Sus scrofa: one gene and its partners. The main gene of each other region encodes a partner of the protein of the gene in region 3 in a complex. Links are inferred from orthologs where the notes say so. Each region holds a gene or a part of one and is shown on either strand. Other genes may lie near its edges.

Region 1 (4,097 bases), on a different chromosome or scaffold from region 3:
GGTCTGGGAAAGTTCCCAGGGGGTTTTGAGTAAGATAAGACTAAACACACATAGAGTTGCCTTGTGGCTCAGCGGATTGAGGGTCCCGCGTTGTCACTACTGCAGCTCCCGTCCCTATTGTGCAGGTTTGATCCCTCGCCTGGGGAACTTGCACATGCCACGGTGCCACAAAAACAAGAGGAAAAAAACCAAAAAAAACCCCTACTCTACCCTTCTAAGATTCATTCATACCTCCAAGCAACACAAGATCTTTTGGGGGGTGAGGTTTCTATTTGCAACGTTCGGTGGGAGAAGATGCGGAAGAAGTAGTCCTCAGTTGGAGCGGACAAGGGTAGGAGAGTGGGTAAGAGGGTGGCAAGAAAGGCCATCTCTGTAGGCAGATATGAGCAAAAGCAACCAGACCTTCTGCCCAGAGAGTAATAACATTCCGTGACGGCTAGCCCAACCAAACTGAAATTAGGAATGCCGTGGCTGGTAGAAAATAGCATAAAAGGAGGCACGTGATCTAACTTGATTTAGTTGAGTTGAACTTCTTTCTTTTACTGGCCTAAGGAGAACAGGCCCCAGCAGCAAATACGAGCTCCCCTGCTTCCCAACCCTTTCCATCGGGTGCATCGGATGCACGCAACGCACTGAGCCCTGCAGAACCTGCTGCCATCTAGCTGGACCTCCTTCCTGCAAGATGGCTCCTACACGGTGACCATTCCCAAGAATCAGCTCTAGGTGCCACCTCCACGTCCAGAGACTGCCCGTGGGCCTCAGTTCCCCGGACAGGATGTCGGACTCGGCCGCACGAGCGGTCCCAGATGTGTTGTCTCTTTGACCCCCTGGACCCCGACTCTTTTCATCTCCTCCCTCCAACCCTCGTTTCTTTTGCTTCTTTCCTTCTCGCTGGTCGAGCGGCGCGGAAGAAAAGGCAGCCGGCCTCACCCCGCCTCCGAAGCATCGACGCAGACCGGCCGGGCTGCAGGGTCGCGGCGACCGGCGTGCGGGGGCGGCTGTGCGCCTTCCCGGGTCCCGCAGCCTTCCAGCCCTCCCCGAAAGTCCAAGCCCGCGGCGGGGGTCCTGCGGGCGGAAGTGAGAGGCCAGGCGTGGGAGGAGGCTCCAGGCAGACGGCCCGGGACGACCCGAGCAGGGAGCGCGCATCGCCCGGGCCTTTTTTGGCGCGGAGGGAGGCCGGAGGGGCCGTCCACCGCGCCGAGCCGGGAGGGTGGCGAGGCCGAGCCGCCGCCTCCGGGACTGGGAGGAGGGGCCGTCTCGGGGGCGCCGCCGCGGCCGGGAGAGGCTGGGCGGGCGCGGGCGGCCCTGCGCCGCCGCCGCCGCCGCCTCCCAGCGCCAGCGTTCGGCAGCCTCCCCGGAACCCGGCGAGCGCGGAGAGCTGGCGGGAGCCCCCGCTGCCCCCGGGCCCCCAACCATGTCGGCCGAGGAGATGGTGCAGATCCGTCTGGAGGACCGCTGCTACCCGGTGAGCAAGAGGAAGCTCATCGAGCAGAGCGACTACTTCCGCGCCCTCTACCGCTCCGGCATGCGTGAGGCCCTGAGCCCGGAGGCCGGCGGCCCCGAGGTGCAGCAGCTACGCGGCCTCAGCGCCCCGGGCCTGCGCCTGGTGCTGGACTTCATCAACGCCGGCGGGGCCCGCGAAGGCTGGCTGTTGGGCCGACGGGGGGAGCCGGGCGGCGGTGGGGAGGAGGAGGAGGACATGGACGAGGTGAGCCTGCTGTCCGAGCTGGTGGAGGCGGCCTCCTTCTTGCAGGTCACGTCCCTGCTGCGGCTGCTGCTGTCCCAGGTGCGGCTCACCAACTGCCTAGAGCTGTACCGCCTGGCGCAGGTGTACGGGCTGCCCGACCTGCAAGAGGCCTGCCTGCGCTTCATGGCCGTCCACTTCCACGAGGTGCTCTGCAAGCCCCAGTTCCATCTCCTGGGGTCTTCTCCTCCGGCCCCCGGGGATGTCAGCCTGAAACAGAGGCTGAGAGAGGCCCGGATGACTGGGACTCCTGTGCTCGTGGCGCTGGGTGATTTCCTGGGGGGACCCCTAGCCCCTCACCCCTATCAAGGAGAGCCCCCGTCCATGCTCAGGTACGAGGAGATGACCGAGCGTTGGTTCCCGCTAGCCAACAACCTCCCTCCAGACCTGGTGAACGTCAGGGGCTATGGGTCCGCCATCCTGGACAACTACCTCTTTATAGTGGGCGGCTACAGGATCACCAGCCAAGAGATCTCCGCGGCCCACTCCTACAACCCCAGCACCAACGAGTGGCTCCAGGTGGCCTCCATGAACCAGAAGAGGTAAGCAAGCGCCCAGCCGTGCTGCTGCTTTCCCGCCTTCATCTGTTCACGAATTTGGTCCCCTAGTGTTTGCTGAGCAGTCACAGGAAGTTGTGCTGGGATGGGAATGACATCCTGGGGAGCGTTGGTGGCCTTTGGCAAAGTTACCCATGAACTTGGCAAGGAAGCCGAGGCCCCAGTGAAATCAACTATCTGAGTCATTTATTTGCAGATATTGCACCTTTAGACTGCCCCCCCCCCAACTTTGCGTCTATCTCAGTGGAAAAAAAAAGATGTGTGTGGTTTCCTAGAAGGATACCTTTAAAGAAAACTGTAATTTTGCTTTTATTTTTACCTTTTTATTTTTTAGGAACTAATGCTGATTATAATGACACATGGGGCAGTAACCTGTAACACTGATGTTGGCGAATCTTGTTAATGACCTTGAAGCTTTAAGCACTGGGGCACCAACCTGTGATCAGAAAATAACCGTTAGAATGTCAGCTGTATAGGAGATCATCTTTATTTTTTTATTCTCTCTTTTTGCAGCTCACTTTCTTTGCAGACAGTCTTCATCATGGACCCAAAACTTGAGCCTTACATTGGTCACCTGCAAAATTAGAACATTTCCATTTGTCCCAACCTTCTACCTTCCCATCCTGCACATCCCTCCCAACATGCACTGGGGTGACTTGAAGAAAGGAGAAGAAAAGGAGATGGGGGCAGGGGGAGACAGAGCCAGGAAAAGAATAGGAAAACAAGAGCAAAGAGCATTATAGGAAGAAGTGGTAGAAAGAAAGATGGTAGGGCCCAAGATGGCCTAGAGCCATTCCAAAGAGGGGAGAAGAATCAATGTAACCCAAGGGAGGACAGGAATACCCTTTCTTCTGGTCCACCTGTATCCATCTCAAGTACCACCAAGATGCCTGCCCTGAAGTGTGGAATGAGGATTTGGGAACTCACAGCCATGCAAAGAAAGTCTTAACAGGAATGGGAAAGTCATCACACATATTTACTTGACTTAAAGTCCTCCCCCAAGGCTGAGCAGTTGGGGGGGGGGGGAAGGGAATGAGTCCTGGCCTTTTTTCGACTGTAATATAAAATTCAATTTGGAAGGTTTTTTTTTTTCCCCTCATAATAAAAAATACAGAGTTATTCACAAAAAATAGAAAAACGTCAGAGAATGAAGAAGCAGAAAGACTGTCACTCCTACTTTCTCCTTCCTGGAGGTGATAACCATCTAGAGGTTGGCGAATTTTCTTCTAGGATCTCTTTGTTGCATTGCATTATTTGCACCAAGGGGGATGTTACTGTATTTAAATTTTGATATCAGAATTTTTTTTTTTTTTTTTTTTTTGACTATGCTTGCAGCATGTGGAACTTCCTGGGCCAGGGATTGAGCCTGAAACACAACAGCGACCCCAGTCACAGCAGTGATAATGCAGAATCCTTAACCCACTGAGCCACAAGGGTACTCCATCAGAGCGTTATTTTATTTCAGTTTTTGTCTTTTTTTTTTTTAGGGCTGCACCTGTGGCATATGAAGGTTTCCAGGCTAGGGGGTCTAATCAGAGCTGCTGCTGCTGGCCTACACCACAGCCACAGCAACAATGCCAGATATGAGCCACGTCTGCTCCGTACACCACAGCTCATGGCAATGCTGGATCCTTAACCCACTGAGTGAGGCCAGGGATCGAACCTGCAGCATCATAGTCCCCAGTCGGATTCCTTTCCGCTGTGCCGTTACAGGAACTCCCAGAGCATTATATTTAAACAGATTTTAAGAGTGTTAGTTGAATCAACAAATGACCGTGTAGTGGTGATGGGCAATG
Region 2 (4,190 bases), on a different chromosome or scaffold from region 3:
GCCGGGCTTACAGGGCAAGGGTGGGGGCTATCGTATAACAGAAACCCAGGCTTCATCTGCAAAACAAGTGCGACAAGGGTTTTCTTTTTTTCTTTTTTGGCTGCTCTGTGGTTGATGGAGTTCCAGGGCTCTGGATCAGATCCTTAACCCACGGTGCCCGGCCAGGGATCCAACCTGTATCCCAGCGTTACAGAGACACCACAGAGTCCATGAAGCCACATCAGACACTCCTGGAATAAGGGTCTTTTCTGAAATTGAGCAAAACATACATTAAACTAAAGAAAATAATGGCTTTCAAGTGAGAGAATTTTTTCATATGGTTTCATTGAAAACACAGCCCGGGTTTTGTATATATTGGAACCAGAGTAAGGAAGATTTCTTTCTTCACCCGCAAGTGACTGTGACATATCTGAGCAGCCATATCCTCTGTTTTTTGGGGGGTGGTTTTAGTGGGGGGTTTTTTGCTTTTTTTTTTTTTTTTAAGGGCTCTACCCAAGGCATATGGAAGTTCCCAGGCTAGGGGTCAAATCAAAGCTGCAGTTGCCAGGCTACACCACAGTCACAGCAATGCCAGATCCCAGCCACGTCTGCCACCCACACCACAGCTCAAGGTAATGCTGGTCCTTAACCCACTGAGTGAGGCCAGGGATTGAACCCGTGTCCTCTTGGATACTAGTCTGGCTCCTATCCCACTGAGCCACAAGGGGACCTCCAATATTCCCTGGTTTTTAAGGTAGTCCTCTGTTTGACCTTGAGCTGAGGCCCTGTGCCCCACCCCACCCCCGCCCCGCCCCGCCCCCACCCCTGAACCCAGTGCCCCTCTCATGAAATAGGACAAAGTGCTGTTTTTCCCCAGAATTATTTTCTGGTGCTTCAGCTTTGTGTTGAATTTTTATACTCTTACGAATTTTCATGGGTTTTTCCTACACTGTTTTCTGCCTTCCCCACTTCCATTTCCCGACCAGGAGGCCAGCGTGACATAATGCAGCCAGAGCAGGCCTGACCCCCTTCAGAGGGCAGCTCAGGAGACTCAAAGAGTCGCTACAAGTCGGAAACGAAAACTGCGCGCCTTGCGTGCTGACGGAACTTAATGACCCAGTCGGTCAAGTTCGAACCTCCTGCAGGAACATAGCGAGGCAGATTCCTGGCATCTGGTCCCATGTCGCTGACGCGCCAAGGAAAAAGCGTCCCCTAAAAACCTCACACTTATTTATGCTTTTGGTCCCGAAGTGAAAAAAATTCTGTCGTTTGAAACCTGTCCTGAGATAGGGTTAACTAGCAACGCTTGGAACTAGTGGAATCCAAAAAAAAAAAAAAGTCATTGTCCCCAGTCGCCCTGGGGCGGTTGGGAAGTCTGGCGCGAAATGGGTGCCTTCGCTTCCCGGCGAGGGGCTTTGTGGGTGGGTGATGGCAGGCCCTGGAGGCCCCGGATCCAGCGCACAGCCGCCCCTAGGAGAGGACACTTGTCACTCGGTGTCCCTGGCTCAGGCGTCGGCGGGAGGCTTGCAGGAAGCCCCGGAAGGGCGGAGAGGGGAGGCGGCGCGGGCGGCGGTGACTCAGCCTGGAGTATGCGGGCGGGAGCGCGCGAGGGGAGGCGAGGCAGCGCGCTCCGCAGCGCGCGGGGCGGGAGGCGGTGCCAGGCTCGCAGGGGTTAATTGGGCGGTGCCGTCGGCGCCCCGCCCCCGCCCGACCCGGCCCCCTCCCCGGAGGCCGAGGCGCCCGGCAGTATTTATAGCGGCGGCGTCCAGCGTCCAGCGTCTCTCCCGCTGGCCCCGGCCGCGGCCTTCCCGAGCAGCGCGCGCAGCGGCCCCGCTCCCCCCGTGAAGGCGCCATGGAGCGGCCGGCTCCCCTGGCCGTGCTGCCCTTCTCGGACCCCGCGCACGCGCTGAGCCTGCTTCGCGGCCTGAGCCAGCTCCGCGCGGAGCGCAAGTTCCTGGACGTGACCCTGGAGGCGGCGGGCGGGCGCGACTTCCCCGCGCACCGCGCCGTGCTGGCGGCCGCCAGCCCCTACTTCCGCGCCATGTTCGCGGGGCAGCTGCGCGAGAGCCGCGCTGAACGGGTGCGCCTGCACGGCGTGCCGCCCGACATGCTACAGCTGCTGCTCGACTTCAGCTACACGGGCCGCGTGGCTGTGAGCGGCGACAACGCCGAGCCGCTGCTGCGCGCCGCCGACCTGCTGCAGTTCCCGGCCGTGAAGGAGGCGTGCGGCGCCTTCCTGCAACAGCAGCTCGACCTGGCCAACTGCCTGGACATGCAGGACTTCGCCGAGGCCTTCAGCTGCGCGGGGCTGGCGAGCGCGGCGCAGCGCTTCATCCTGCGCCACGTGGGCGAGCTGGGCGCCGAGCAGCTGGAGCGGCTGCCGCTGGCGCGGCTGCTGCGCTACCTGCGCGACGACGGGCTGTGCGTGCCCAAGGAGGAGGCCGCCTACCAGCTGGCCCTGCGCTGGGTGCGCGCCGACCCGCCGCGCCGCGCGGTGCACTGGCCCCAGCTGCTCGAGGCCGTGCGCCTGCCCTTCGTGCGCCGCTTCTACCTGCTGGCTCACGTCGAGGCCGAGCCGCTGGTGGCCCGTTGCCCGCCCTGCCTGCGCCTGCTGCGCGAGGCGCGCGACTTCCAGGCGGCGCGCTACGACCGCCACGACCGCGGGCCCTGCCCCAGGATGCGCCCGCGCCCCTCCACCGGCCTCGCCGAGATCCTCGTGCTCGTGGGCGGCTGCGACCAAGACTGCGACGAGCTGGTCACCGTCGACTGCTACAACCCGCAGACGGGCCAGTGGCGCTACCTGGCCGAGTTCCCCGACCACCTGGGCGGGGGCTACAGCATCGTGGCACTGGGCAACGACATCTACGTGACGGGTGAGTGGGCCGGGGGATGGTCAGCAGGACCCCCTGGGCTGGCCGGACACCCGGCGCACCTGGGGAACCACATCCACCTGCAGGAGAACCCACAGCCCCTGGAATCCCGGCCCCGCACCTGGGCTCAAGCAGCCGCTTCCCTTCCCCTCCTCCACCCCCAGGCTGGCACGCGGGTGCGATTCCAGGGTGATACTTAAGACAGAGAAGAAGAACCCCTTGTGTGAGTTAGGACAAGCTGCTGTTTGTGGGTCCTCCCCACCCGCAGGGCCTGCCTGGAGAGCCTCCCTCTTGTGGGGAGGTGCCCCCATTTGGTTGGAAGCTACAGGAGCAGTCACGCTGCACAATGAGTGCTTTCTTTTGCTCCCTAGGGAATCCGGGGACAGGCCAGGGACTGACGCCCTGTGACACATCCCCTCTCCCCCTTCGGCATTTCTCCCTCACGTCTGAGCAGCACAGGCCTCCTGACACCCTCACTTAGTCACCAGTGACAGCATTCCCTCGGCCCTGCACCTAGGCCCAGTGCAGCGGGTCACGTGGTGTTTAGGCTGCTGCCTGCTCAGCGACTGTAAACAGAGTCACATGCTAAGAGGTTTTCTTCCAGTTAACTTGGCCCAAACCCCAAAACTGTGCCGAGTCATGCTGGGCGGGTCCCAGCCCGCCCCAGTCCTGGGCATCGCCCGCATTTTTTGTAAAAGATGAATCCCGGTTCAAACAGGAGGCCACCGCCTCGCGTGGGCCGAGGAGGGCGGTCTGTGGGACGGCTATATAAGGAAAGATCCCGACTCAGGGCCTGCGGGGCTGGGGCTGGATCAGGCAGGGAGACGCTGGCTGGGCCATCACAAGGCCTTGTCCAGCCTGGCACATTCAGGAGAAAACCACCTCCCGGACGCACGCTGGTACTCTGTGGGGCTCTGAGCTGACGGGTGGGGCGCGTCCCCGCCTAAGGACTGGCTTGGCTCTGCGGCCACAGCTTCCTTGGCCCCCAGCTCCAGGTCCAGCCTCTGCGGGAATCTGCTAGAATCAGTCCCTTTCATCTCAGGTGGGCCCTGTGTTTGGGAACCTTCCTGCCTGCCTCCCCCCCACCTCCCCCACCCATCACCACAGAGGTCTGGCCTGTGAACTCCCAGAACTGGTCCAACTCGCCCCGGCTTCGCACACCCTTCCATAAATGTCTCAGCTGAGCAACTAATCCTTTGGGTTTAAGACAGGTGGCTGGGTCCTTCCCTACAGCTGCCTGTAGGGAATTTCATGGGGGCGACAAAGTGGCTTCAGCTGCCTTTGCCGCAGTTTTCCTTTAGAAGGAAGAAGCAGGCAGAAAGGACTTACCAAGGACTTTGT
Region 3 (4,099 bases):
ATTTTTTTAAAAGTATAAAAAACCCCAGCTTCCAAATACTACAAAAGTACTGAACTCCAGCTGTTTAAAAAGGCATTAAAAATAAGTTTGAAAGTATTAATACTGCAGCTTCCAAATGTAGATACCCATCTCAGCAATAAGTTCTTATTTAACGTGAGATCACAAACTTTAGTGGGCATTCACACATTCCTCTGCAGAGTCAGAAATTCAAATACCACATCGACTGAGCAAAGAGTTAAGTTAGGAAATAAAATTCGTAGTAAATGCAAAGCAAAACTGATAAATCAAACTAAACTTTTTGACCACAATGCCAAAAAGTTTTGCCCCAAATTATCAGCAAACTGGAATCAAAGACAAAAAATTTTGGCTTTCAAAACCTATGGCACTCTCATAACGATAAAAATGATTTGTCAGATTAAAGATAGGTTTCTATCATCCATTTACCAAAATAGTGCACTCCATTAAGGGAGCTGTCATTTTACTTCAACGGTAAAGAAAAAGAAATATTGACACTAGTAAGTCCTGGGTCCCTCAGAAAATATCAGTGAATCAAGAACTTCTGCAGTTTAAGGAAAATCTGTGGATTAAAATCTCCACTTCTGAATCCTGACAGCTGGGGTGTGCATATCCAATCCGAATACCTTGTTAGGCATACAGGACCCTAATTTCTGCCACTGCAGGTAACTCCTACACAACTATTCTTTCAACTTTCTGGCTTCTGCTCAAGTACCCATCCCTAGTACACCTGCCCTAGAAAAACACAGGAACCAGTTCTAGGACGTGGTTATCCAGCTAGCACCCCATACTCCTCCCCGAGACTACCCGCCGCCCGCCCTAGCTCGGCCCGGCCCGGCCCGGCCCACCCCAGCCCATCGCAGCGCCGCCGGGCCCAGCCCAGCGGAACCCCAGCCTACTACAGTCCTGCTCCGGCTCTCGGAACTTCCCCCGCCCACTCCGTCCACGTGAACAGGACCCCCACCGGCTCCGCACTCCACCAATCAGCAGTCACCTCCGCCCAGGATCCGGTCTCCAACGCTCCCCTTTCAAAAAGTCAGCTTACTCCTCCCGCCCTCGGTCCCGCCCCTTTCCCACCTCCCCGCCCCGCTGGCCCCTCCCACTTCCCCAACTCCCTATTCCTCTCTTCCCCTCCCGTTGCCCCCTCCCGCTTCCAGGCTTCGCCCCGCCCCACCCAGGGCAGCGCGCTCGCCCTCTTCTCGCGAGATCTGAGCGTCCCCGCCGCGGCCGCCCGCTTCCCCCTCCCGTCCTCCCACCCCCCCTTCCCCCAATCTCTCCACTCTCCGGCTCTCCTCCCTCCCTCCTCCCCCCTCCACCCTCTGGGCCGGATCTCGTCTCGCTGAGGCGGAGGAGGAGAAGGAGGAGGAGGAGGACGTTCGGCCTGCGCAGTGAGATGTTTGTCCGTCGCCGCCGCCGCCGCCATCGCGGAGGAGCGCGATAAAGGGAGCCGAGCCGGTCGAGAGGAGGACCCCGCGGAGCCGCCCCGCCAGCGCAGCCCCCCAGCCAAGCCCGAGCCGCCGGAGCCCGAGCCGCCGCCGCCCCCGCCGCGGCCGCCCAGGGGCCGGCCAGCTCTCCAGCCCAGCCCGGGGGCCGCCGCCGCCGCCCCCAGCGTCGCCCCTCGCCTGCCCGCCCGCCTTAAATGTGACACCGGCGCCTCGGAGTGCGACCCGAAGCCGCCGCCGGGGAGGGGACGAGCACCATGTCGAATCTGAGCAAAGGCACGGGCAGCCGGAAGGACACCAAGATGCGGATCCGGGCCTTTCCGGTGAGTCGCTTCTCGCCGCCTGGGACCCCGGGGCCGGGGGCCCGGCCGAAAGCCGCACGCGAGGCCCGGGCTGAACTCCCCCAACAGGCCGCAGGCCCGGCCTCCCCTCCCCCACGCCGCCGGCCGCGGGGCGCGAGCCTTCCAGGCAACCGGGCTGCGCGGGGCTCCAGCGCGGCAGCCTCCCGGGCCGTTCCCCGCGCCCCGCGCCCCTGTCCGGCGCCGCGCCCCCGCCCCGGAGCTGCGCCTCCTGGGGCCCCGCGGGCGTCGGCTGCGGCTGGGGCCCCTTCGCCGGTCCCAGCACCCCCGTCCACGTTCCTGGGGTGTAGGCCCAACCCCTAGCATTCCGCTCCTCGGTTCCCGGGACCCCCGGCCCTGCAGGGATGAGGACTGTGGAAGTCCTCCTCGTATGGGGCGTGTGTGTAACTTTTCACGTGGGGTTTCGCTGCGGTTTAAAAAATAACCCAACCTAAAAGATGGCCAGCCAAACGTTTCGGATGGTGAAGGGGGCTGTCCTCTCCTTTTCCTCCCCTCTTCAGGAAGGGCTATGCCTTCAACCTACCCCCGACGCAGTGACAGCCTTTCCACGTAATGCTCCGTAGTAATGTACTAATAACATCGGGTGTGTTTATAACGTCTTTCATCCACAAGCTTCCAAAGCACTTTACAAACTTGTGCAGGAATTGCCTTGCCACTCAAGAGGAGACAAGAGAAATCAAATTGGACAATTGGTTCTCCATTTCTTGGCCGTGGAAGCCCAAAAGAATGAGTAGTCATCACTCCGAGTTGCTTTGCTTTAGGTTTTAGTGACAGCAAACGTATTCTGTTCAGAAACTTTTTCTTTTTTAGCATTACGTTGAGTCATACGCTTGCGGTGTTTAGTATATAGGGTATAACTTTGGATGTCGTATCTGATTCAGATAGCCAATGGCAAGCAATTAAAATGTGCAGTTGGAACAGAGAAACTGGACATACTTGCTCATGTCGCTACAGTAACAGATACACGTCAAGATAGACAAGCTAGCAGTTGAGCAGAAGATTTTAAAACAGTGAAACTAGAGAAAGATGTTGGGTTTCCTGTCTTAGAATCACAAACACATATCCTGTGAGGGGGGGAAAGAGAGGGTCTGTACTTAACTTTTCAAAGCATGCTTTTTTCTAAAGTGTAGTTTGCAATGGGGAAAGATTTATTCATATAAATGTCCTAGTTTGGTAAGAAATTGACCCAGGGAGGTTGAGGACCTCTCTGAAAATTCTTTAGATTTAAAAGAAAAAAAATGCTCCTGATGCAGAATTCTGAAATTGTAATAATGTAAATATTGATGTCAGTGTGAAGAGACTTCCAGCTTTATGTAAATAAAGGGAGGATATACTTAAGGAGAATTAAATTTTTTGATGGTGGTTAAAGGGATTTTGATTTTTTTGAAGGTTTTTTTCCTAAGTGAATATGAGAAACTACAACGAAAATGAGAAATATTGACAGAAGAGCACTAATGAAATTCATTAGCGTGTTTTCCCTTATAATGGAACAATGAACTGGGTTTATGAATTTGTGAGTGATACTAGTTTTCCTACTAAATCAGTTCTGAACATCTTTAGCAGAATCTAGAATTATTCAGCATTTAAAATGATTTTATACAAGTTTTTTAGGAAAAGTTTGCTATTCTTGAAGTCTGAGTTCTCCTAATTAAGATTAGGAGAAATAGCTCACATTTGACATCAACTCATATATGTTAATATTCTGATTAACCATTTATCTGTGTGTAGTCAACTCTTTGATCACTTGGTCTGTCTGTTTCTGTTTGTTTTTCCATTCCTTCATTCATTCAACAAATACTGAGGACTGTGTGCCAGGCGCCCTGTGCAGGGGTTTGGGATAAATAAGTATGGTCTCTCCTTTCTGGATCTTGTATCATTGGGAGGAAGGGGTGGGAGAGAATTTTATTATTCCTTTAGGCGAAGGGTGTCATAACTTTGTGACAGGTTACCTCATAGTCCTGAAACTGATTTTCTTAAGGCGCATTATGGTCATGAGCTAATTTAGACCCTTTTTGTCTATAACTTGTTGCCCTCTAAGTTTTTCTGAAATCTTTAAATGAAGTTTGTAAGTAGCTAGTGATTGATAGCTAGTACTTAGTATCTGCTAACTTTTAAAGCCCAATAGTTTTTTTTATTTCATAAGTATTAACATCACTTGTAAGTAGTTCCAATGAAAAGAATCATTATATTTTTTAATATATAAATTTTAAAGTCATAGTTCTTTGAACCTTCGTTAAAGATAGGTACATACCGTAGTGGTGTGGTATTTCAGTGATTTATTTG
Region 4 (3,930 bases), on a different chromosome or scaffold from region 3:
ATCTAGAAATAGCATTTCTGACATTAGCTCATTTCTGACTTACATTTTTTTAAAATATTAAGTATCTATAATGTGCCAGGCACCCTGTTAGATGCTAGAAACAGGAGACAAGAAAATGAAAACATGTCAACAGTAAAATTTGTATTTTCTTTCAAAAGGCTTGCAGCCTGTGAAGCAGATGGAATAGGAATAATTATTCACACATTACCGGTGAAGGAGCTAAACATTTCAAGAATTAAAGGGTCTTGTGTATGGTCCCACATTAAGAAGTAAAGAGTCAGAGATTCAGTACTTGTCCCTAATCCTGGGCTCAGGGCACTTTCCAGTATTTCTTCAAAGGAAATCCCAGACTACTAAGTATCTCAACACCTCACTTTCTCAGGAACATAAAAGGAAATCACCTTGAAACCCTTTATAATGTTCATGTGCTCTTAAAAATGGAACAGGTGTTCCCTGGATGCTCGAGAAAAGCAAGGCTTTGAGTGAGAGTTAAAGATCCTGAGCAGCCGTTGTAACCAGAACAAGTTAATCTGTGGAAACAGGAAGACTCAGCCAAGGCGATGCTATTTCAATTGGGTGTCACAGGTGACTCATCAGAGATGGCTTGCTTTCGGCCTCCCGATATTTTTCTTCGGAGTGGGGTGTCAGATTTCCTTCACAATTTTGGACAACAGCCCTCTTGTCCATTTCCAAATTTGTCTGGTTTCACAGCCCTCACGCGGACCCCCACATTCATACCGGAAGCTGAACATTGGCAGGAGATTTAGGAAACGAAAGACCAGGTGGAAAAAAGAAAAAAAAAGATCGGGGGGCCTCGAGAGAGGCCTAAAATGGGGACATTCGCACTTCAAGAGCTTTCCCTAACCTCGCCTCTCAGAATGACAGCTCTCCTCAGCCAGAAGACTACCTCTCCCGGCAGGCACTGCGCGCCTTGCAGACACAGGCTGGTGGGCTCCCTGCTCTCCTCCTCCTCCCGAACCACCCAATAGGAGTCGCCGGCTTAGGCCTCCACCCGACCCAGACCACGCGGGAGCGGGGACAATAAAACTACATTTCCCGACGCGCTTTCGCACTCCTCGTGGCCAATAGGCGCCCGGAGTTCGGAGGCTACGGGCGGAGCCGGATGCGTAGGACACCCCATTGGCTAGGGGCAGCTTAGAAGAGCCGGAACCCGGGAGAGAGAGAAGCGAAATGACATTTCCTCTTTAAATAGCTGGAGCCCGGGCCCCGTCGAGAAATGGCCGCGTCGGCAGGTGGGTCGTGTGGTGGTTACCGAGGTGTGGAGGGGTGGTGGGCCTGGGGCCAAGCTCAGGCTGCGAGCTGAGGCGGCAGCGATGAGGAGCGGGAAAGAAGGATGGATAGGTGGACAGGGATGAGGGGAGGGAGGATGAATGGCGTGGAGGGAGGTGGGCGGTCCGGCTGGACAGGGATGGGGAGGCCGGGTACCCGCCTCCGCTCCGACCTGTTCACTAGGCGGTTGAGGGGGCCACTGGCGGCCACCATCCATCGAGCTTCCCTCGTGAGGCTCCTGCCCTGCGCTCTTAGCTGGGACGTTCCGGCTGTGGCGGAGTCCTCGTAGACACCTCGCCAATTCAGCCCGCACGGTCCCTCCGCGAGCACCGGGCTTCGAGCTCGCCGGGCTCCCAGAGGAACAGGCTGGTTGTTGGAACTTGCATCGCAGCTCGCTCTTGCCCAGATCCTACCTCGCGGTCCTATTTGGGAGTGTCTGTATACAAGTATGTATTTAGAAGGGGGGAGGACAAACCAAACAACCCCTCCCCCCCAAAAAAAAATCCGACCCCACAACAACAAGACTAAACAAAGAAACCAATAAAACCCCGCGACGGTGAAACTGACTCCGAACTTCTTGTGGTTGATTTTTTTTTCCTGCTAGATTTAAATAAGTCTTCCCCAACACCGAATGGGATTCCATCTTCAGACACAGCCAGCGAAGCCATGGACCCCTTCCATGCTTGCAGTATTCTTAAGCAACTCAAAACAATGTACGATGAAGGGCAGCTAACAGACATTGTAGTGGAAGTGGATCACGGGAAAACATTTTCCTGTCATAGAAACGTTCTTGCTGCAATCAGCCCTTACTTCAGGTATGATGATGGTGGAAACTTCTATTGAGATCTGCACCGAGTTCCCTTTTTCCCTCAGTATTGCCCACTTGATTATTATACTGAGATGCGACAATGAAATGAAACCAATGGATTTGTTTGCAGAAAATACATAACTGGCCCTATTTTATTAAGCCTTTTTTTGAGGTGGGGGGGGTACTTGACAGATTCTTCTAGAATTCAGGTGGCTGGTTTTTAAGTCAGTGAATATGTTTCTGTTTGTTTCAGAAAATCTAAAATTGTACTGTCCAATATGGCAGCCACTAGCCACATGTGGCTATTAAAACTTCGATTATCTAAAATCAAATTAAAAATTAAGTTCCTTAGTACACTGGCCATGTTTAAAGTGCCCAGTAACCACATGTAGGTAGTGGCTGCCACATTGTACAGCACAGATATAGAACGTTTCCGTCACTGAGAGTTTTATTGGACAGTGCTGATCTGGAATTTGTTCCAGAATTTTATCCAAGATTTCTTTAGTTCACGTTAACTCTTTTAGAATTTAAAACATAATAGCCTGTTTTTTTAAAAAAAGAAATTACCCATTTAATGGATTGTTTTAATGCCATGGGGATAACAGCAATGAAATAAAAATGAATGCAATCTAGGTTCTATGTGTCTTAGACCCCAGACTAGTGATTATTTCTAAGATTTCCAGAAGTATTTTTAAGCTCAGTTTTCATTTTCATTTAAACTCATATTTATATATCATAAAATTTGAAAAGTAAAATTTTAAAACTTGAGTCTAAAAAATAATTTCATTCTCTAAGAAAATATCAGTGAAAGAGGCAATTTCCTGTTTAACTTCTGTTTTTGTTTCAAGTTCTCACTTTAAGCCTTTTAGTATTCAAAAATGGTGCATGAATGACTGTGAAATAATATTCTCAACCACACCCTAAATGTGCTTTTTCCTTTTGAAGATGTTTACCTTTATAGGGCATATAGCAGTGTAGTTTTCCAGACAGTAGTTTCTGGTTCCTCTTTCTCAGAATACGGGGTTAAATATAGTCACTTCAGTTTGATGCTTATGATGTAACCATTTAGACTTGCATATGGTAGGTCATTAGAGTATTAAGTATTAACCAAAACAAGGCAGTGTGCTGAAAGAAAAAAAAGAAACTCTTGTACACAGAATATATAAAGTTTGGCTTCTAATGGAAACTGTGGGTGATACTCATTTATTGAGGCCATCCATTGATGCTCAGGAAGGTTAAATGCCCTGTGTAAGTCATCTGTCTAACTAGTAACTAGTGGCAATGGTTGAGTGTGATTCCAGAGCTAGGATTCTTAGCCACTGTATGACTTTTAAGGAACAAGAGTGAGTTCTTTTTAAATTTTACCATATGGAACTATTAACTTTTTATTAGATTTGAAAAGTAAAAAAGAAAAAAAATGAAACTTTAACATGAAAATGTCTATATCTCACTGTATTTGATATTCTGGCTTACCTCTGGCTAATGGTTTTGAAGACCTAAACAAATCACTTTATTTTTTTTGTGGAAAGGAAAGTTTGCTTTATTTATAATGGGGTTGCAGGGGGGGTGCAGACTCCTGTCCAAAGGCTGACTTCCCCCACTGTCAATCAGTGGGCAAGAGCTTTCAAAGGTGGAGGGAGTGGACTGCATGCAGAAAGAGCACAGTCAGTTCTGACATGGACAAATCACTTTAAAAAAAGTAAGCTATAGTAGATTTTCTTAATTTCCAAGAAGGAGATGCTTGGAAAACTTTCTAAGCATAAGGCATGTGAATTCAGATGAAGATATTTGGCTAGAAAATTTAAAGATGAGGTTCTTTTCTTTCAGTAGAG
Region 5 (3,953 bases), on a different chromosome or scaffold from region 3:
AAGAAGTGAGAATTCACACTCTTCACACTCGGACTAGCCCTAACGAGGGGGTCAGGGCAGCAACGGGCCCAGAGTCAGGACTTGAGACGAGAGGGCAAGGGTCGAGAGGCTTGGGGCTTGGCGGCCAGTGGGTCCCAGGTGCAGCCCAGCTCTGCACCTCCGCCCCCAGCAACCTGTCTGCGGGCTCTTCAAGGAAGCGCTCCTTCAGATAAATGTCCTGGGACCACCTCTCCTACACGGCTGCACGGCTGAGCTCCCCAGCAGACATTCTGCCCGGCAAGAGCAAGCTGCAGCCACACTCCCAGGGAACTCCCAACCCGGCAGGTTGCCGAGAGACTCCAGGGCTTCCGTTTCTTGGAACTCCTCCCCCTCAGATCCAACCCAACCCCTCACCCAAGCACTCGGCTGCAAGCCCAGGTGCTCAACCCTGAGTCAAAGGCCCAGCAGAAAATCTTCCACCAGGCCCTCCAGCCCCAGCATACCTGCCAGGTATGCGTTCATTAACCTTAACTACGAGGTCAGGGCCTGGACATTTTCCTCCGTGAATCAACATCCTGTTTCTCTTCCAGTCGCTTAATTACTAGTGTCCCACCCGTCCAAACACCCCTTCCCCTCCTCCACCCTCGTCCAGATTCCTCACTCAGGGTTTAATTATCGACAAGTGAATCTCTGGGACATTCTCTCATCAGAAACGAAGGGGGTAAAACCTAAGAAGGGGTCCCTTACACATTCGCTCATGGGTTGATGACCATGACTAATGGGAATTAGCCTTACGCCTTCCGGAAAATGCGCATCTGTGGCTAAAGCTAAAAACTTATCTTCCAGCAACTATTCTGAGACAGATGCTGTATCTGCTGCACTACCTTCACATTGTGAAGTGTGATTTCATAATGTGTAAATCAAATGTAGTTAAGTGGATGATGATGAAAGGGAGCAACTATAATATCGATATATTCTGAGATTAACTAATTACTTGCCCCAAAGGACTCCTATACAGTACATGATAATTGTTTTTAAATAGTCTCGAGACAGTAAAATAAAGAGATGAATTGCCTGAACTGTGCAAACTCTGAATCCGTCTAGTGCATTGACAGCCAGTGCCTCAAAACAACCCCGTGAACAAGAGCAATGTAAAATCGGACTCCATATGCACAACTGGAAAACGCTCAAGTAGAAATGCAAGGGAATGACCACTAAGACCCACTGTTTAAAAAGAAAAACAGAACAGTAAAACATACAGCCACGCTATAAAAGGAAAATCACAGCTAACAAAAGCCTGTTTCTATCCTGGAGATGCCTGTCATTTTCTGGGAGGCCAGTTCTCCGAGAGCGGAGCTTGGTCAAACGATCAGTGGACACAGCTGAGGCTTGGGGGAGGTGCGGGTGGGCGGCAGGAGCGCTGGCATCTCAACCCTAGTTCTACCCAGGACTGGTGGTTCTGTGGTCACTCGAGGTCTCATTTCCCGATCCTAAGGTCAGGCCACTCTGAGGATGATCTCGGTCGGGCTTCTGGATCTGGACAAGGGATCACACTCTTTCTGGGAAGCCTATGCCTGGCAAATGCTGGGCTGGCAAGGCACAAGGCCAAGGGCAATTACGTAGGCCCAAGCCAAAGGCAGGAAAGTTAGGATAAGGCCTGTGAACCGCCTAGGATACGTACAGGGAATAACTCTTCTTCCAGCACAGCCTTTTTTTGAGTTTCGATGCCATACAGCTGCCGAGACAATTCTTTAAGTAATAATCGAAACAGCTTCTATTATCACCTGCACAACAGTCTGATGAAACACAAGCAGCAAACCAACCTAGAAACTCCTATCCTTTTGAGAGAGCAGCAGGAAAACTAGGTTAATGAGAAAGTAGATTGAAAAAGATTTCCTATCTGGCCCTTCCTTGACACCCCTGAGCCACGCCTCAATATGAGCCACATTCCCTTCGAAAATCACTCTATGGACGGCACTTTTTGAGACTGTTGTGTGGGTGCGTGTTGTGGCTGAAAACGATGGAGCGCCAACTCCCTAAATGCAAGTCACTGAGAAAGGCAGGCCACTAGTATCAAACCCCACGCTAACGTTAAGTAAAACGTCTGGAATGTGAGAAAATGAGGGGAACATGGGGATTCGGGATTCCAGAGCCAGTCAGTACACCGGGACGGAGAAGAGAAGGTGCTCCCGGCGGGGGCAAAAGAACCTAGGAGAGAAAAGAAAGTAGATCCCAGCAGAGTCCGGGGTCTGGGAAACCTCCTCCGCGGAAGAGCAGAGGAGGGCGAGACAGACACCCCGAGGGGGAGTGGCTGGGGCTCTCGGAGGGCGGTGGGAGCCAGGGCGCCATCCTGTTCATCCTCGGCCCAGGACAGGGAGTCGGGGGCTCCGGTCGGGCTGGTGAGCAGGGGGCAGCGAGACCCGGAGCCGGGGCGGTTCTCTCAGAGTGGGTCAGGGGGTGTGTGTGGGGCCGCCGACGGGGGCGGCCCGAATCCTCCTGGCTGGCCCGCGCGGCCCTCACCTTGTCCGAGTCCAGGTCGGGGTCGGCCTGGCACAAACGGTACAGGAAGGATTTCGGATCCCGGCACAGCGTCTGCCGAGTGGTGAGGAAGTAGGTGCCGCCGACGTTGAGCCGGACCCATTTGGACACGTTGCCGGGGCGCTGGGCCAAGGTGCCGAGCCCCGCGCTGCAGCGGCGGCACAGGCTGCCCCCCAGCCCCGCCCCGAGGCCGCCCGGGGCCGGCGGCAGCAGCTCGCAGTGACTCTCCGCCATGATCCCAGCAAGCCCGGCCACAGCTCCCCTCTGCCGGAAGCGTCCGGCCTTTAATACAGTCCTCCGGGCTCTGTCCCGCCCACGGGTCCGCCCTCGTAAGGCGCCCACCCCGGCGTCACGCGGGAGGCGGAAGTTCCGGTCCGGAAAAGCGGCCGGCCGTGCCCCCTTCCGGCCAAGTCCGGCGCGGCGTGGTCCGGCATCGCCCTTGTGGGCAGGCGGCGGTGGAGCCCGGCGTCGCGCTTGAGAGGGGCTGGCCGGTCTTCGCCGGGCGCGCGCTGTGCCCGAACACCCTGTTCCTGGCCCCGAATTCAGGTCGCCCTGCGACGCCCGACCCGCGCCCCGGCCAAAGAAAGCTACATCAGTGAGCGTCTACATTCTACATGCTTTTTTATTACAAGGCTACCGAGCATACGTGGAAAATTCATCATCCGGTAACTACACCTAAAGCACAAATATTTGAAAAAAAAGAATAAACAGATTCATTAAATTATGATATGATTAAATCATCGACCAAATAGAAAATTTATATAATAAAGCCAGAAAAAAAGTTGTAAAATATAGTTTACAATAATTATTCACATTCAAGGCTGTACATCAATACATACAACAACGTGGCCCGAACATGAATTCAACCCAAATAATTCATATATTAGATTTTAAATAACACAGACTGAACTAGAGGCCAACAATAGCCAGCAAATAACCTTATATAAGAATAAAAATACAAAAGTGTATATCCTAATATCATTGCATTATTTGTTTCCGTAAGTTTTTTTTTTTTTTAATATTTGCTTTGCCTGTACATCACAGTTACAGCTACAGACCAGGTAGAGAATATTACACATGTTCTGACTGCCACCAACCTGAAAGACAGCTAGCATACTACTGATTCATCCTATTTTGTGTTGTTAATAGCTACAGCAGCTCTAAATATTGCGAAACTTTGATTTTGTCAGTGTCCAATCAAACGTAGGATCATGGCAGAGGCTTTTCACCAGCAAAATGGCCCCTACTTATAGTCAGGCAGCCAGAAGGGTTAGACGAGGGTGGACCCCACAGCTAAAAAAGGTGCGCCTTTTGTAAAAAGTTCTCTGTACATAAAGTTTGGTCGTTCTTCATACTGAAGAAATGAGTTCTGGGTAAATTCTGGTACACATGAGGCCTGTTTAGTTGCCCACCATGGCTGTCTGAACTACAGGTAA
Region 6 (4,121 bases), on a different chromosome or scaffold from region 3:
CAAAAGACTTAAACATTTAATCAGACGAAGCAGAGTAAAAGCATACTGGACACTCAATAAAGATTTGTTAAATTGAGCTGGTTTCTAGACTCTACTGCAAAATCCTTATCAGTAGTCCCAGATACACACATTTTGGTGTGTATTCAGTTGATTTAGTCTAGCTTAAAGAATCTCTTCAGTAACACATATGCACTTCGTTTATAATTAGTCATGTACATTCACCAGATTGGGCTTGTGCCAAGAGTGGAAGTTAGGAGGGAGGATGAAGCCTATGCGGCCATTTCTGACAACTTTGATCCACGAATAACTTCTATCAAAAGAGAGAGTAAATCTACAACTTTCTGCCTGCTAGCAGTACCAAGTGGAGACCACAGCGTTCGGCTACTGCAAAGATCTCACATGTGAAGCTGAAGGCTCGGGTTTGGAGAGCAGGTAGCCGCTGCATTGCAGCACAAACTCTCTGGCGTTCAGAGCCTCCCCTCCGCAGGCCAACGGTTCCCTCCCCAGGGCTGCAGGCCCTTTGGGGTGTTGTTTTGCTTTTCCTTGGCCTTGAAACCAGGACGTGAAGCCTCTCTTGCTTCGATCAGGAAAACGGAACATGCTCTGCAAAGTGGAGGGCCTGTTTTGGAGATTAGGGGCTTAGGAGACAAAGCCTACTTAGCCAGCCGCCCAATTTCTCTTTCTTTCATGGTCTGATGTTTTTCAGTGCTCCTCATTCTCACTCTCTCACCCAGCCTGCAAATTTCTATATTTCAAGGGGGAAAAACAGGCATAAAGCTGTCTGTAGTTCCTAGCACTCAATTTATCGGGCCTCTCTTCGCCAGCGTAGCACCCCAGAACCCTCCACCGCCCGAACCCCCGCCCCCCTTGCGCCCCAGGCCGGCGGGTCTCACGGGCGACCCCTCGGCCGCGCACGCGCTCTCCGCGGGCTCTCCGCTGACCTTCCCCGGGAAACCCCTTCAAAAGCATTTCCCCGTCATTTCGCGCCTCCCCCGCCCTTCCTGCTCTTTCCGCTTCCTTCTCGCGCCTGCGCGGACCCAATTGTTTTGGCTTTCCGGTGGGATTCAGCAAAGGAAAAGGGCGGGGCGGCGTTGGGGGGGCGGGGGGCGTCTCCAGAACCCGGGAAACTGCAAAACTGACGTTTGTGCTGCTAGGCGCGCGCGGGCGGCGGAAAAGGAGACTTGGCAAAGGCTGGCCCACAGTCCGCTGTCCGCGCGTTCCCGGGCCTCGGAAGGGGCCCGCCAAGGGGAGCGAGAGCGCGCCGCAGGGGCGGGGCAGGAGCGGCGAGCCGGGCGTCTCGCGGCCCCGGGGCTGACGAGGCGGTGCGGGCGGCGCGGCTCCCGGGGGAGGAGTTTGGCGGTGGTCGGGCCCTGGGGAGCGTGCGGCGGCGCCTAGAGAGGACGCTGCTTTCCGCTCGGGACGGACCTGCCGAGGGAGGGCGCGAGGGAAACCGGAAGGAAGAGAAGGCGGCGGCGCCAGCCTTCCTAGGCGGGAGGCGAGACCCCGGCCCTGGACGCCGCGGGAGGGCCACGCCCCCGCCGCCGCGCCCCAGGGGCCCAGTGTCTTCGGGGCCGCCAGCCGCACCGGATCCTAACCCTCGGGACAGAGGGACTCGGGTGAGCAGGCGTCGTCAGTGCTGGGCCGGGGGGGGGGGAGCCGGGGACGACCTGTGGAGGAACTGGGGGAGGAGGGCCGCGGCGGGAGGGGGCTCGGCTCTTTGTGGCTCGCCGGGCGGGGGGCGGCGGCGGCGGCGGCATCTTTCAAACCCGAGACGCTTCCGCCACGGGCGGGGGAGGGGCGCGGGCGGTCGGCGCCTTGCTCCCCACCCCGCGGCGGCCCCTCTGCGGCCCGGCGTCCGGCCGGTGCGCCGCTCGCGGGGGCGTTTCCGGCCGCGGGTCTCCCGGGCGGCGCCCTGGCCCCGGCTGGCGCCCGCGCTGGCCCAAATCAAGCTGTTTCCCTTAACGACTCGCGACATCTTCGCGAGACGGTGGGCAGAAGGAGGGCAAGCCCTTCGCTCGCATGTTTTTCTTTCCCGGTACATCTGAAGTAGCCAGGAGATGTTTAGATTAACAGAGGTCCCATTGTGATCTGCTCGTGATTTTTAAAAGACGGCAGAATCTGCCCTTTGAAACGGAAAATTGTGTGCGTGTTTACTTTAGACTGTGAAATCCCTAACTTATTTGAACTCGACCACCCTGTCTCCCTATGAATTGAGAAACCTTGGAGTAGAAGAGTATCCGTTAGTTTGATGTAGTTATTTCGAGTTAACAGGTTTGGTTTTGTTTTTTTTTTTTCCCCTGGTTTATTAACCTACTCTCTCTCTTGGGTACCTCAAAGGGAAAGGAATGTACAGTCTGCAGATTTCTAGAATTGTCCGATGCCACGATGGCCCCCACAAGTGAAACTAGAAAAACAGTTTAAAGTGGAAAATTAACTCTGAAAGTGTATGTGTGTGTGAAGTATCTGTCTACCATATCAGCCTTAGAAAAACGTAGGGTACGGTACAGCTCTGGTCACGTGTTGTTGATACATGAATCTGTACGTCTGGCTCCCTGAGCGTTCTGGCATTCGCAGACAACCTATCGGCAGTGTGGCCTGGTTAAAATTATATTTCCTTTTGAAGCAATTAATTAACAGTGCGTTTTTTTGTTTTTGTTTTTTTTTTCCTTCTTCCTTCTCTCCGTGTTGTGAATTTTTGCCTGTGTTTTAGTGGTATGGACTTCAGCTATCGCAACTGTGTGTGACTTATTTTGGTTAAGCTTTGGTAACGGCTTTCTTCCTAACCTTTTTTTCAGAAGGGCTGTTTGTGACGGAAAGAAAATCGAAAAAGTCAAACCAGTCAGTTGTTTGCTAGTCTTGATGATGTGAAATTTTGCTGATGTTCAGCTTAGTTCACTTTAATCTTTTGTTGGTCTAGTGCTCATTGAAGCCCCTTTAGTTTGGGCCCTGAAATTCTCCAGAGGTGGTTGTCCTCAGTAAACACTGCAGGACAATGGCACTTCGGTTGAGCATGCTTTATAGTTTATGCTTTTCCACATAGTGCTATTTTCTCTACAGCCAGTTTTGTAGGATGCTATCAGTTTTCTCTTTTTTGCTCTGGCAATAAGCATTACCATAAATGCGGTTAACTTTGGTTATTCACACGGCCTTTAAGGAGATGGGTGAGAATAATTCATTAAATGCAAACATTGTAAATAGGTTTAACGTGGATGGTAAATCCATGGAAGCTTGAATGCAGTCTTAAAAGCCAAAAGGTATTCTCAAAGATTTTACTTATTTATTTAGAAAATAATTGTTTTTCTCCTTGCCCACATTCCTACAACCAGGAAAAAGGATTGGTTTTGCTGTCATAAAAAATATGAATGAAAACGTCAAAATCCTTCATTATATGTTAGTATTATCATTTTCAATTTTGTGGAGTTTGAATAGAGCAGATGATATTTAAATAACTCAGTACTATAAGTAACTAATTCAAGTAACTTTTTAAATATATGAAGATTACTCCTGGTTCTCTTGCCAAGAATTGTCAGTATCTGGATTCCTCTGTGTGAGAAGAAGGGATTATTGTAGGAGATTTGGAGAAAATATAACCATTTAATGAAACAAGCTTTTTTAAATTCTCTTTTTTTCCTCAGCTCCACACCCATACCTCTAACAAGTGGTGATATGTAGTGAGTTCCATCATAGGCAACAGATTCTAAGTATTCCTCAGTTTACCTTTTTTTTTTTTTTTTTTTGTCTTTTGTCTTTTTTTTTGTTGTTGTTGTTGTTGCTATTTCTTGGGCCGCTCCCTCGGCATATGGAGGTTCCCAGGCGAGGGGTCGAATCGGAGCTGTAGCCACTGTAGCCACCGGCCTACGCCAGAGCCACAGCAACTCGGGATCCGAGCCGCGTCTGCAACCTACACCACAGCTCACGGCAACGCCAGATCGTTAACCCACTGAGCAAGGGCAGGGACCGAACCCGCAACCTCATGGTTCCTAGTCGGATTCGTTAACCACTGCACCACGACGGGAACTCCTACTTTTTTTTTTTTTTTTTTAAAGAAATTTCCGTTGTCAATCATTGTTAAGTGGCTAAGCTCTTAATGACCTCATGAGTATGTTTAATATCTGTGAAAT
Region 7 (3,500 bases), on a different chromosome or scaffold from region 3:
TCACCACTGGATCCCCAGGACTTGATATGCAGTAGGTGCTTACTAAATAGCTACTAAAGGAACAAATGGATGAAAAAAGGAAGAAGGGAACTGGGACACAAGGGAGAAGCTGGCTGAAGGCCAAGGCTGCCCCTCTGTGGCCACACTGAGAAGTGCAGCCTCCCCACTGCCCAGACAGGGAGCCCCTGGAGCCCCTCTCCCACATGACCACTTCCTCCAGGACAGAGCTCCAGGTCCTCCAAGTCCATCAGGTCTCAAGGACCCCTGGGATTTCCCAAAAAAAAAATTGACCCCCTTCCTCTGAACAGGGAGAAAGTACCCTCAGAGGGCCTTCCTCCCCAGAGGCAGGCCACTCTCCCTTCCTGGGAGGAGCCACCATGGGGCTCCCTGGCCTCTCTGGGGTGCTGGTGGGCTGTGGAGAGGAGCTGGACCCGTCAGGAATAGCCCTCATATCTGAGGCCATGGGCCTGGGGATGGGTGAAAGATGGAGGGTTCAGGGGGTGGGAGGACGATCAGGGGGTCAGGAGTTCCTGCCAAGGCCCAGGGCCAGTGTGGCAGAGCAGGTGCTGCAAGAGACAATGCCAGCCCTTATGCGCACAAAGCCTACACATAAAGGCTGGGACCCAAGATGCATGCAGGAGACTGGCAAGGACCTCTCTTGGCCTGGGGTCTTGTGTAGGGTTTGGGTCCAGGGTCCCAGCCGAGTGCACAGGGTGAAAGCATTGTCTTTGCACAATAAACAGTTTTCCTCCTCAAGCTGGAACAAACCAAGCTACAGTGTAGGATACACATGATTGAAAAAAAAAAATACAACTTTTAAAGTGTTTCTAGCTCTGGGCCTGTAGAGTAGGTCTGATGCCACAGGGCCCTGCCTCTCAGCATCCCTCCAGTTTAACATCAGTGGATGTGCCCCAGCAGAGCTGAGGGATAGACAGGGGAAATCTTCAGTCTACACTTGGCTGCAGAGTTAAAGGAGCTGACTGGAGCCAAGGTACAAGACCACTGTGAGGGCGGAATTCTGGGGAAGAGGTCTCTCCTCGGTGGCTAGCTCAACCTCAGGGGTTCCACACCCTAACCTAAAAGCAGAGTCTGTAGGGGTGTGGACCCTGATACCTGGGCTGGGTTTGCTGGCCAGGCCTCCCGCTCACTCTGCATAGCCTGGGAAGGAACGGGAAGGAGAACCCTCTTGGAGGGGCTTCCTTACCTCCCTCTTGAGTGGGGCCACATAGGCCCAGGAGTTGGTGGCGGGGTCGTAGCGCTCCACAGCACTCAGGTCATTATGGTAGTCGCGGCCAGCCACTGCGTAGATGTACTTCCCCACGACACACACGCAGAGGTCAGCGTGCTCCTGCTGCAGGGACTGGATCTGGAACCAGCGGTTGTGCCTCGGGTCATACCTTGTGGGGACACAGGACAGGCGTCACTGACCACTTGAGTCGGCCAGCAGACCCATTAGCTGCCCCAACAGCAGCACACACCCCCAACAGCCACGCCACCCACCATGGCGATGACGAGTACAAGTGTGTCCCCAGCATACAGCCTGGAGGGTGGGGCCAGGAGTCTCCTGGATTTCTGCCAAGAGCCAGGCTCTTCCAGTGTTAGACTGCGGGTGGCCCAAGCTGCCCAACAGCTGTTCCTACAGCCACCTCCACCCCACCTGTCCCACCTCAAGGTCCCCAGGGCCCCACTCTCAATCATGAGGTCCCCAACTGTGGCCTCAACTGGACGGGCGCAAGAGCCTCCAGCCCTCCAGCCAGCACTCCCTCAGGCGGGCCCACCAGGCTCCCATCTCAGCCCCCTTTGTCAAGTTCTGTGCATCCCCTGTGTGCAGGGTTTGGCTTCCCCAGCTGGAGGAGTGGACACTACCTCACTGGCTGTGGGCACCTCAAATGAGGGGCCCTGGGGACTCTAGGAAAGTGGCCGGAGCAGCACTGCTGGGCTGAGGGCCGCCTAGAGAGCAGGACAAGGGGCGGGGGGAGCCCCTGCTGCTGAGCCTAGCGCTGCTGCTGAAGGTTGCTCTCCTGACATCAGGCCACCTCCATGCCCCTTTCAAGGGGACACAGCTGCCCCCAAGTCACAGCCCCGCCTTCTACTTTCCCCATCAACTTTCATAAAAAAGTCCAACCCCCAGGCAGCAGCTCCCTTCCACGCCCCTGTAGGAGCTGCCCCAGCCCCACTCTCCTGCTTCCAAGGGCTTCACCTTCTCAGCCCAGTTGTGTCCAGTGCCCGGTGACTGCCCTGTGCTCTCTCCTCACGCTGTCGACGGCTCTCACCCCCTCCAGCTAGCTGCCCACCTGTCTTACGTGGAACCCTGCACTCCCTCTATCTGACCCCGTGCTCACCAGCTGAGCCCCAAATCCTCAGGCCTGAGCCCTGTGGCTGTGGCCCTTCAAAGCCCAGGCCCAGCCCCCGCCCCAGGCTGCCCCTTCCCCCTCCCTGTCCCCAAGGCAGGAGCACTGAGTGAGTGAACACAGAAGACCACAGAGCCTTGAGCCAGGACCTGTGAGCCTGAGCCCCAAGCCCTCTTCCCCGACTGTGCAGGCCCTTCCCTGGGCTTGCACCCAGGCACCAGCTCCTGAGCGCCTGCCATGGGAACCCCCTTGCACAATGGCCCCCGCACAATTACAGCCTTTTTCTGGTGTTTTATTTTTCTGCAGTAAGACCTTCCAAAGAGGACTGTTCCCTGCCCTATGCCAGACGCTCCTTATTTCAGCCTTTGCCCCAAATGCAAGGTAGACACACAGCAGCCGCTTCTTCCCACTGCAGCCCCCCTGCCAGCAGGAGCCCAGGAAAACAGGCCCACAGGACAGAAAGGACGTGTGTGGGCCACACAGACCCGAGCCTGAGTGCTGCAGGAGGGACGAAGCACATGATAAAGTCTTTGGAGGACTGATGCTCCTGTCTATTCCCAGACCTCCATGGTGCTCCTGGCTCAGAGTGGATCATGCCATCTGCTCAAGGACTTGAAGGAGGAGTAAGGTCACTGGCAGTGAAATCCTTCCTTCACTCTACGAACACCACTGGCCCCCACTGTGGACGAGCACAGTGGAGACCCGAGGCAAGAGCCCCCTGTTCAAGTAGGCTGGGAAACGGGCTAAAAGGAGCAGAGTAGCAAGTGCTCTGCTTAAGGGCAGGTGCTGTGGAGGGACAAGATGGGGACAGAGTGGAGCCAAGGAGGCCAAGAAGGCAGAGGTCCAGCTGGGCCACATCTCTTCTGGCCCACTGCCACCAATGAGAGACCCTCCGGACATTCCTCTGGCTTCTGGCCTCACAGCTGCCTGGGCTGAGCTCACATGGATTTGTAGTTTGAGATTTAGGGCTGGAGTTCCCATCGTGGCTCAGTGGTTAACGAATCTGACTAGGAACCATGAAGTTGCGGGTTCGGTCCCTGGCCTCGCTCAGTGGGTTAAGGATCCAGCGTTGCTCTGAGCTGTGGTGTAGGTTGCAGATGCGGCTGGGATCCCGTGTTGCTGTGGCTCTGGTGTAGGCCGGCAGCTACA

Evidence for each region.
Region 1: CUL3 (region 3) and KLHL42 share a complex: the UniProt entries of both Homo sapiens proteins name them as parts of the BCR(KLHL42) E3 ubiquitin ligase complex. The link is inferred for Sus scrofa from reciprocal best matches to the Homo sapiens genes CUL3 and KLHL42.
Region 2: CUL3 (region 3) and KLHL21 share a complex: the UniProt entries of both Homo sapiens proteins name them as parts of the BCR(KLHL21) E3 ubiquitin ligase complex. The link is inferred for Sus scrofa from reciprocal best matches to the Homo sapiens genes CUL3 and KLHL21.
Region 4: CUL3 (region 3) and KBTBD8 share a complex: the UniProt entries of both Homo sapiens proteins name them as parts of the BCR(KBTBD8) E3 ubiquitin ligase complex. The link is inferred for Sus scrofa from reciprocal best matches to the Homo sapiens genes CUL3 and KBTBD8.
Region 5: the proteins of CUL3 (region 3) and KCTD5 are in contact, whole or in part, in a cryo-EM structure (PDB 8U83), measured with the Homo sapiens proteins. The link is inferred for Sus scrofa from reciprocal best matches to the Homo sapiens genes CUL3 and KCTD5. Residues at the interface, in NP_003581.1 of Homo sapiens: Thr24, Met25, Asp26, Glu27, Lys28, Tyr29, Val30, Asn31, Ser32, Ile33, Trp34, Asp35, Leu36, Leu37, Asn39, Ala40, Glu43, Asn48, Ser50, Leu52, Ser53, Glu55, Glu56, Leu57, Arg59, Asn60, Ala61, Tyr62, Thr63, Met64; in NP_061865.1 of Homo sapiens: Trp45, Phe55, Leu56, Thr58, Thr61, Arg64, Asp65, Lys67, Ser68, Pro96, Thr97, Tyr98, Phe99, Gly100, Pro101, Leu103, Asn104, Tyr105, Leu106, Arg107, His108, Gly109, Lys110, Leu111, Val112, Ile113, Asn114, Lys115, Leu117, Val122.
Region 6: CUL3 (region 3) and KBTBD2 share a complex: the UniProt entries of both Homo sapiens proteins name them as parts of the BCR(KBTBD2) E3 ubiquitin ligase complex. The link is inferred for Sus scrofa from reciprocal best matches to the Homo sapiens genes CUL3 and KBTBD2.
Region 7: the proteins of CUL3 (region 3) and KLHL22 are in contact, whole or in part, in a cryo-EM structure (PDB 8K8T), measured with the Homo sapiens proteins. The link is inferred for Sus scrofa from reciprocal best matches to the Homo sapiens genes CUL3 and KLHL22. Residues at the interface, in NP_003581.1 of Homo sapiens: Thr14, Arg17, Ile18, Arg19, Ala20, Phe21, Pro22, Met23, Met25, Asn49, Ser50, Gly51, Leu52, Ser53, Phe54, Glu55, Tyr58, Tyr62, Leu66, Met118, Asp121, Ile122, Met124, Tyr125, Arg128, Val129, Gln133; in NP_116164.2 of Homo sapiens: Asp73, Tyr74, Arg76, Gly77, Met78, Gly81, Gly82, Leu83, Lys84, Glu85, Leu92, Ile93, His94, Leu117, Gln121, Val125, Cys128, Gln129, Gln131, Pro133, Trp146, Glu150, Asn151, Asp154, Val155, Arg157, Leu161, Phe162, Asp163, Ser165.

The regions. Positions count from the first base shown.
Region 1 is NC_010447.5:45,952,088-45,956,184, reverse strand, and holds the start of KLHL42 (kelch-like protein 42), read left to right. Parts: upstream 1-1,297; 5' UTR 1,298-1,414; coding exon 1,415-2,286; intron 2,287-4,097. UniProt on the Homo sapiens protein: Substrate-specific adapter of a BCR (BTB-CUL3-RBX1) E3 ubiquitin-protein ligase complex required for mitotic progression and cytokinesis. The BCR(KLHL42) E3 ubiquitin ligase complex mediates the ubiquitination and subsequent degradation of KATNA1.
Region 2 is NC_010448.4:67,432,013-67,436,202, reverse strand, and holds the start of KLHL21 (kelch-like protein 21), read left to right. Parts: upstream 1-1,390; 5' UTR 1,391-1,831; coding exon 1,832-2,852; intron 2,853-4,190. UniProt on the Homo sapiens protein: Substrate-specific adapter of a BCR (BTB-CUL3-RBX1) E3 ubiquitin-protein ligase complex required for efficient chromosome alignment and cytokinesis.
Region 3 is NC_010457.5:126,284,349-126,288,447, reverse strand, and holds the start of CUL3 (cullin-3), read left to right. Parts: upstream 1-1,299; 5' UTR 1,300-1,714; coding exon 1,715-1,780; intron 1,781-4,099. UniProt on the Homo sapiens protein: Core component of multiple cullin-RING-based BCR (BTB-CUL3-RBX1) E3 ubiquitin-protein ligase complexes which mediate the ubiquitination and subsequent proteasomal degradation of target proteins.
Region 4 is NC_010455.5:48,485,789-48,489,718, forward strand, and holds the start of KBTBD8 (kelch repeat and BTB domain-containing protein 8), read left to right. Parts: upstream 1-1,130; 5' UTR 1,131-1,237; coding exon 1,238-1,253; intron 1,254-1,894; coding exon 1,895-2,105; intron 2,106-3,930. UniProt on the Homo sapiens protein: Substrate-specific adapter of a BCR (BTB-CUL3-RBX1) E3 ubiquitin ligase complex that acts as a regulator of neural crest specification.
Region 5 is NC_010445.4:39,426,809-39,430,761, forward strand, and holds the start of KCTD5 (BTB/POZ domain-containing protein KCTD5), read right to left. Parts: upstream 2,801-3,953; 5' UTR 2,752-2,800; coding exon 2,500-2,751; intron 1-2,499. UniProt on the Homo sapiens protein: Its interaction with CUL3 suggests that it may act as a substrate adapter in some E3 ligase complex. Does not affect the function of Kv channel Kv2.1/KCNB1, Kv1.2/KCNA2, Kv4.2/KCND2 and Kv3.4/KCNC4.
Region 6 is NC_010460.4:40,603,137-40,607,257, forward strand, and holds the start of KBTBD2 (kelch repeat and BTB domain-containing protein 2), read left to right. Parts: upstream 1-1,321; 5' UTR 1,322-1,616; intron 1,617-4,121. UniProt on the Homo sapiens protein: Substrate-specific adapter of a BCR (BTB-CUL3-RBX1) E3 ubiquitin ligase complex that acts as a regulator of the insulin signaling pathway, modulating insulin sensitivity by limiting PIK3R1/p85alpha abundance in adipocytes.
Region 7 is NC_010456.5:50,797,976-50,801,475, reverse strand, and holds part of KLHL22 (kelch-like protein 22), read right to left. Parts: intron 1,398-3,500; coding exon 1,205-1,397; intron 1-1,204. UniProt on the Homo sapiens protein: Substrate-specific adapter of a BCR (BTB-CUL3-RBX1) E3 ubiquitin ligase complex required for chromosome alignment and localization of PLK1 at kinetochores.